2 linked regions of the Rattus norvegicus genome follow. The protein of the gene in region 2 purifies or fractionates together with the protein of the main gene of each other region. This does not show direct contact. Links are inferred from orthologs where the notes say so. Each region holds a gene or a part of one and is shown on either strand. Other genes may lie near its edges.

Region 1 (4,377 bases), on a different chromosome or scaffold from region 2:
ATGAAATTATTAGTCCAGATAAGATGCAACAAAAAACTGTCTTTGTTGGAAACACCAGGAACATGAGACTGGATAAACTACACTGGTAAATTACATCAAGTTATATTTAACAGGACTTTATGATTGGTTGAAAATAGAAAAGACTTAACAATGGGCAGTTATATAAACTTGCTTGTTTAATATATTAAGGCCAAATAATGAAAATCCTATGAAATTCAATTTCCTAATCCAGGCAGTTAGAGGGAAAAAAGGGATATTTTAAAACCCCTACGTTGTTCCTGCTCCTCTCTAACTCCAGTCAAACTTCCCTTCAAGCTTCTCAGACCTACTCTCTCTATGTGGGAGGCGACATGGGCTTAGGACCTCACCTAACCCTAGGCCAGACCTACTCTTAAACTAGCTGACCTCTGCCCCCTCTGTTCCACTCTACAAATAAGTTTTCAACATCTAAGAAAAAGGAGGAAGGGGAATTGGTACCAGGATCTTCCTCTTTGTCCCCTTTCTCAATTACTATAATTAAACCTTTGATCAAAAAACCAGGAACTCCCAATTTCATATTAATATTTTAATTTTGTAGGTACTCAATTACAGTCATGGAGCTGAACTAAATGACAAGAACTTGGGAACTGAACAAAGTGAGAGCTGGGGAGGGAGTGGGTATTGTGCACTTTCCTGTTCCCAACCCTGTCCATTAAAATTTACCATCTGAAACACTAAAGTAAAACCAGCACAATTTTAGGATAAGTATTCTGGTATGCTGAGATACCAGGGAGAAAAAAAAAAAAAAAAAAAAAAAAAAAGAAGTAAATATCTTTATCAACGTTTTATAATTTTAATCAACTTATTCACTACTTACTAAAATTTAAAATAAACTTATTCCTAATTTTCTCTCCATTAGGAACTCTGACAAACACAAATATTGAACTAAAAACTAATAATTCAAGCTGAAGTCCTGAATTTGTCCCATAAGATGGTAAATGTCAAGAAAAAATTAATATCAACACCCCACAAGGTCGTTAAACACCAGTAAATCCCACAGCTTTATTCTTAAAATAAAGACCAAAAAACCCTTTTGCAGTGCCTAGTCACATTTTGACTAAAATACACAAAGCCACAAATACTTCAGTTTTCAATATACTTCTCCAAGCTGCTGATCTTCACCAAATACAGAATTTTATAAATCTGAACCACAGCCGTCCCCCGAAGTGTGCTCATCAATAATATGATTCTGGAGTAGTTAAAAGGAAATTATCTCAATGGTGAAGCTCTTTGTTCCCCTTTTACCTTTAAAAGTCTTTTCTTTATGGGAGATGAAAAAGCATACGACTCTTGAGGAAGTAGTTGTCGACTGTATCAGCTCCATAGAGTGGCCAAGAGCCCCCCTCCCCAGTCTGAGAGAGAGAGAGAGAGAGAGAGAGAGAGAGAGAGAGAGAGAGAGAGAGAGAGAGAGAGAGAGAGAGGAGAGAGAAGGACACATACCTGGTCATTTCCCCAGCAGGTTCCATAGGTTTGATTCACTTGTAAGAGCAGGGTATCTACTTACAATCTTTAAAGGCAAAGTGGCACCCAGCGCACTGTGTAAATAAAAACCTCAGAGGTTTTAAAACCCTCATCTTAACTCACTTCCCCCTTGGTTCCAGGGGACGGCTCAGCCAACCCCACAGCAAATGAGATTATGCAACAGGTTTTTCCTCTCTAAGCATGGGCTGATTAGAGGTGTGCGTTCTCCAAACAGTCTGAGACCCACGGGGCTTCCGAACACCGAGGATCTTGGAAACAGACGTTTAAGGAAAGTTCTTTCCAGTTTTGCAGCGGCCATTCATTTTAAGATCTCCTTGTACTTCCCCCAAGTTTATTACCAGCTTTCTGTAGGAAAACAACCGTCGCCCGCTCTTCAAAGAGTTTGCATACACGTCCTCCTCAGGGTTTTTTTTTTTTTTCTCACGTGAAACTACACGATACTCACAGACCGTCCGTTGCTTCCCCCGTTTTAATGTCTCACATTTTACGGCTACTGTAAATAAAGTCACCGACGGACCGCTTTCCCCCAACACCGTGACGGGAGCCCCGGAATGGAAGTTGAAGTGTGGGGGTGGGTTTTCTTTTTCGGGGTTGGGGGCATGAGTTTTAAGGAAGCGGCACCGTCGCTCCCCAGGTGGCCTCGCTGCCAGCACACAAGGTGAATTTGGGATAATGGAAACAGTCAGGCCGGGGCCCCACTTGGCAGGCGTGTTGTGTAACAGTCTGGAAGTGAGCAGCTTCGCCCGCCCAGGTGCCCGCGACCCGCGGCCCGGAGCTCGCTCGCCCGCTCGCCTCCGCTCCGCTCGGCGCGGCGAGGCCCGGGCGCCCCCGCGACTCGGGCCGACCCCCCAGCGCGGCCTACACACACCCCCGTCACCGACGCCGACGCCACTCCGGCCGGCCGCGGCCCGCCGGCCCCCGGGGAGAGCGCGCGGCGGCCCGCACGAGGTGCGGACGCGCCTCCCAGCCGGCCCGCGGCCCGCCGCGAACACTTACTTGAGGGGCGGCCGGCTCCAGGCTCGCTGTGTGGGGAGCGAGCCTTGTCACCGCGTCGCCCAGCCGTCGCTAGCGCGTCCTCCTCGCCGCCGGGGCTTCTCCTCTGAGGGGTGGGCGGAGAGCTTAGCGAGAGCCCGGGCGTTTGCAACTTTTCTTCACTTTCTCTTCCACCGCCCCCCGAAAGGGGGAAAAAAATGTCGACAGGGATGAAGAAGTTGAGGTAAAGTTGGGGGGGTCCGCGCGGGAAAAGTGGAGAGGGGGAGGGTAAATGGCTGGAAGTGGGATGAGAGCCCCCCCAAACGGTGATGCCCGCAGGAGGGGACCAGGGGGGGTAGGGTGGGGGTTGGGGAGAGAGAAAGAGTCGCTGGTCAGGAAACTTCAAGCGCCGATGAGGTCATCGGTTTAAAAATAAAGAGATGGCGTCACTTGAAACCAATCCCAGTGAATGAACTCAGCGAAGCCCGTGGGGGGAAAGGAGGAGACAGGCGAGGGCAGGGCGGGGGGCGGGGGCGCCGGACGGGGCCGCGCGTCGCCCGCCCCTCGGTGCTCGTCCTCGCGAGCCGGAGGCTCCGGAGGCTCCGGGAGGTGGGCTCGGATCCTCGGGCGCCACGGGGAGGAAGAACCCGGCGCCGCGCGCAGGCAGGCCGCCGCCGTGCTGCTGCTTGCTCCGCCCGCTCGCCCGCCCGCGCGCCTGGTCGCTCCGAGTTCGCGGCCCTGGAGTCAGAGTCTGCCGCCCGCCCGCACTATACAAAAACACGGTGACTAGAGACTGCTGCGGTCACTCTGTAAGAAGGTTCCGGAATCCCAAATCCGGGGCTTTTCTCTTGAGAGGGAAGTTACAGGTACTTTAAGGAAAATTGCACCCGAGTTGTCAGACATTCACCCGTGTCTTCGACCTTGCACCCTATCCGAATGCCTCGATTTATGGCAAACATAGCCAAGGATTATTTTAAAAAATCTTTTCTGCGTGCCCTCGGAATGGCTCAGCATGTAAAGTGTCCATGCGGTGGAGAGAACCGTCTTTGAAAATTGTCCTCAGTCCACATGCCGGCCCCACCCCGCTATACACACAAATAAATAAAAATGTAATAAAACTTTAAGGGGGTTTTGGGCAGTCAAGAGCACTGACTGTTCGATTCCCAGCATCCACAGGGCAGCTTACAACCATCTGTAACTCCAGATCCAGGGGATCTGATGCCCTCTGCTGACCTCCATGGGCACCGAGCACACCTGTGGCGTGAACATACAAACATGTAGGCAAAAACACCCTTACACATAAAATAAGTATTTTCTTATCAGAAGTGCAGCATCATCTTAAGTTAAACCAGAGTTCACTTCCTCTCAAGAGATGCGAGACCTACTTGATTTAACTCCAAGTTTCTCATGGATTTGGGGGTTTTGTACTTGTTTTCTTTTTCTTTTCTCTCTCCTCTTTTCAAAGTAGCTTTGTTTTTGAGACACTACATACTTTGGAAAAAACGAGAGACCTGAGGTGGCGACAACCATTCTCAGCCACTGAATAGGACAATCGAAGCTTTATCCCAGCGCCCTTTGAGCATCTGAGCTTGAAGCTGCTTCTACTAAAAAGGCTTCACGTGGATATCACATAAGAAAGATGAGATTAATGACAGAAAAGCACTCTCCTGGTGGACTGGCCCAAGAGCCAGATTCCTGTGTAGGAAGAATTTACCCCAAAACACTGTCATTTGCAGGGTACTGAAGTAAGGATTCTGGCCCTTGAAGGCAGTATGTTGAAGGAAATAGATGTGGACACTGCCTAGGTGCCTTTTTTAAAGGTGGCAGAAGAACTGATGAGCACGTTTGGAGTGGGTTAGAAACATGATATTTCTGTTAGTACTC
Region 2 (3,150 bases):
ATTGTAGGGAAAGCCCAAGACTGATTTCGAAACTGAACTAACAAAGGACTCCAGGAAAAATCCCAGAAGCTTAAAGTGTAGTTGAGCAGTCTTGGTTCTGTGGGTCATTAGGATCCGGAAACTACCAAGCACAGAATGGAGAAGTAGCCTGAAGCCCCACGCCTGGCGTGCAGGATGCCGTGCCTCAGATTTTACTCCGTTTGGTTTTCTTAGCACAGATGCAGCAGTAAGCAGCAAGGCTACTCCTTCTCAGTCGTCATCCATCAATGACATCTCATCCATGTCCACTGAGCACACCCTGGCCTCAGACACAGACAGCAGTCTCGATGCCTCAACCGGACCCCTGGAAGGCTGCCGATGAAACCTCGCAGATGGCGCACTTGTCTGTGAAGGACTCTGGCTTCCATGGCCCTGAGCACATGGGAGCTGGTGGAACCAAATCAAGAAGCTCCATGTTCTGCATGTAAGAAACACGACGCCTTGCCCCCACTCAGTTCCAGTAGGATTGCCTGCGTAGACTGTAACATGAGGCAGACGATGTCTGGAGAAAAAGTACAAACCACACTGTTAGAAATTTTGTTCAAGATCATTTCAGGTGAGCAATTAGAATAGCCGAGTTTCTTTTTCCAGTCGTGTGGTGTCCTTGGTGACAGATCATGTGTAACTGTGGGGACTCGTATGCATGTGACCACAAATGCTTGCTTGAACTTGCCCATGTAGCACTTTGGGAATCAGTATTTAAATGCCAAATAATCTTCCAGGTAGTTCTGCTTCTAGAATAATCTCTTAATCCTCTTTAGTAATTTGGTGTCTGTCCACAAAAAAATAGATCATGTGTATGAATTGGCCACTATCATATTATCATATTTTACCCACTTTTATGGTATGATTTATTCTGTCTTTTGTATTTCAGAAGGAATATAATTAAATTTATTTAATAAATAAAACTACAGCTTTTCTTAAATTTGTGATGTTTTAGGCTGAGAATTACCACTGCTTTATATCGACACTCTGTGTCCTTTAAACTGCCCACTATGGGAAACTTTACGTACAGCTTTCTGCATGACAAAGTTCCAAGTTGTATTTCACTCTGCTTAACGACTTATGTCACCTTGAATCCTGACCACACATTTCCTTTTTCTTGGTCCTCTGAACTTGGATCTAGAATCCCTCACAGAACTTCACCTTCTTTATCACAAAGCACCCCATCTCAGTAGAATGAATCGGCAGATTCCTGAGCCCCGCTGCCTAATGTAGAGCTGACAGGGTGGCTTCCCCAGAACGGTGGGTGGGTGCCTCCTTCCCTGAGCCCACCCATCCTTTGCTCCCCTCTCTTTATTTAAGGTGAAAGGTGATTGGGTCTCATAGCCTTTCCTTTTGTAGCATTGCCTAACTTGTCTTTCTCACTGACAGAAGCCACCACGTCCAGCCAGAGCACATGGTCTCTTAGGAGACCGGGCTTACTTACCATGCATGTTTGCTGCTGTCCTTTTCCATTTTGTGGAGGCATTTCCTTTTTCTAAGGGAATTCCTCAGATGTTCTAGAAACATTCAGAAGAACGCAGAAGAAATATTCTAGAGAATTAGGGGTTCATTCTTGAATATTTTCTGATTTAAAACTGCTCACCTGAAATTGATACTTTCAGATCCTGATCTGTAAATTACTCGAGATTTGGTAAGATGCTGAGTTCTCTGTGTTGTTGCAGAATTGGAGTTGGGATGATCATACCTTGGCTACCTGCGCTCAGAGCATTTCCTTCTTGAGCTTATTTTGTTAACAATTCATATCTTGTGTTCAGTTACTTTGGGAGCTATGGAGTGTGTTATAGAAGGAAATTTGATAAGAACTTTTATGGAAAGTACCATCTAATACGTGATTCTGTCTGCACCAGTTGTATCCTAATGGTTGGTCTGATCATTGGAACCTTTAATGAACAATGTTAATCTGAAGTAAGGATTAGCTTTATATCACATGTGGACACTTTCAGTTACAAATGCTAGTGCGGGTGAGGGCAGAGACACCTGCCTATGGCTTCAGGTTATTGGGCCCTGGGAGGCTGAAGTTTCACAGCGTCATACTGTGCTCTTCCCTCGGATGCACATTCTTGAAATGACTTCCCTGAAACTTAAGGAGGAAATCAGAAAGGCACTGCATTATCTGCCCTACACTGTAAGGGGAGCATGCTGTGATAGAGGCTCGCCCTGGTCCCACAGACAGGAGGCAGCTGTGAGTGGATCCAGGCGCCCTCAAAGAGTGGCTTTCTCCCCCCTTACTCTGCCTATCTATCAACACTGTTTTGGATGGAGCCTGTGCTGGTGTGGACAGGGTCTCATGCCAAGACTCTCCTCCATCAGGCAAGTGCACCTAGGACTGGCCACAGCGCCCCAAAGAAATACCTCACCCCAGTTTCAGGGTCCTCCCTCCTGAGCCTAGCTTTGCCAGGGTCCTGGGACAATGCGAATGGTTTTGAGCTGACCTCTGTAGGCAAATGCTGATGTTGGATAAAGAACTGAAAAATGTGCTCAACTTTCTCATCTTTTCTATTTTATTTTTGTAATTTATATTGTACACACCCTGGAAGTCACTATTTTGGACATGTATTTTTATAAACCGGGTAACTAATGATTATCTGGAATTTGCACTAGGTTAGTTTTTGTTGTTGTTGGCTTAATTTTCAGCCAAAAGTGGAATGACTGCCCCTTCCAGGTCTGAGTTTTCATTTCAAGCGCAGGTCTGGAGGGCAGACATGTCCAGCCAGGGTAGGAGCGCGGCCTCAGAACTCGGGCTGCAGAGTGCCTCAAGCACTGGGCCTGCAGTCAGAACTGTGCTCTCATCTTTAGAACACAAAGACCAGTCCCCGGTGTTAGAAAGAGAAAGCCCTCCATTGGCCCTTGTTGACAGCCAGGGCCTGCATCTAAAGTAAAAAGCCCAACACTGGTTTCATCTGGGCTGGGTGTGTGAGTCTGTCTGCTATGACTCCTCTGATGCCTCATGCTGGTGGTAAGTACAGTATGACCTTTCAGGTTGTGTATCTCAAAAGTAACTGCCTAATGTTTTATAATAAAATATATCATGTGTTTTGATTGGTGGAAAAATAATACAAACTACATTTTAAAAGAGAAATGTACAGCATGTCCAATCCCTGTGTG

What was found. The genes of interacting proteins can lie anywhere in the genome.
Region 1: the proteins of Mapk9 (region 2) and Dusp16 purify together in Homo sapiens (affinity purification with mass spectrometry; 6 studies listed by BioGRID and IntAct, with this or other methods). This does not show direct contact. The link is inferred for Rattus norvegicus from reciprocal best matches to the Homo sapiens genes MAPK9 and DUSP16.

What each region holds. Positions count from the first base shown.
Region 1 is NC_086022.1:169,358,637-169,363,013, forward strand, and holds the start of Dusp16 (dual specificity protein phosphatase 16), read right to left. Parts: upstream 2,873-4,377; 5' UTR 2,518-2,872; intron 1,615-2,517; exon of another isoform or gene 1,480-1,614; intron 1,433-1,479; exon of another isoform or gene 1-1,432. UniProt on the Homo sapiens protein: Dual specificity protein phosphatase involved in the inactivation of MAP kinases. Dephosphorylates MAPK10 bound to ARRB2.
Region 2 is NC_086028.1:34,708,756-34,711,905, forward strand, and holds the end of Mapk9 (mitogen-activated protein kinase 9), read left to right. Parts: exon of another isoform or gene 1-213; coding exon of another isoform or gene 214-218; coding exon 219-361; 3' UTR 362-2,522; downstream 2,523-3,150. UniProt on the Homo sapiens protein: Serine/threonine-protein kinase involved in various processes such as cell proliferation, differentiation, migration, transformation and programmed cell death.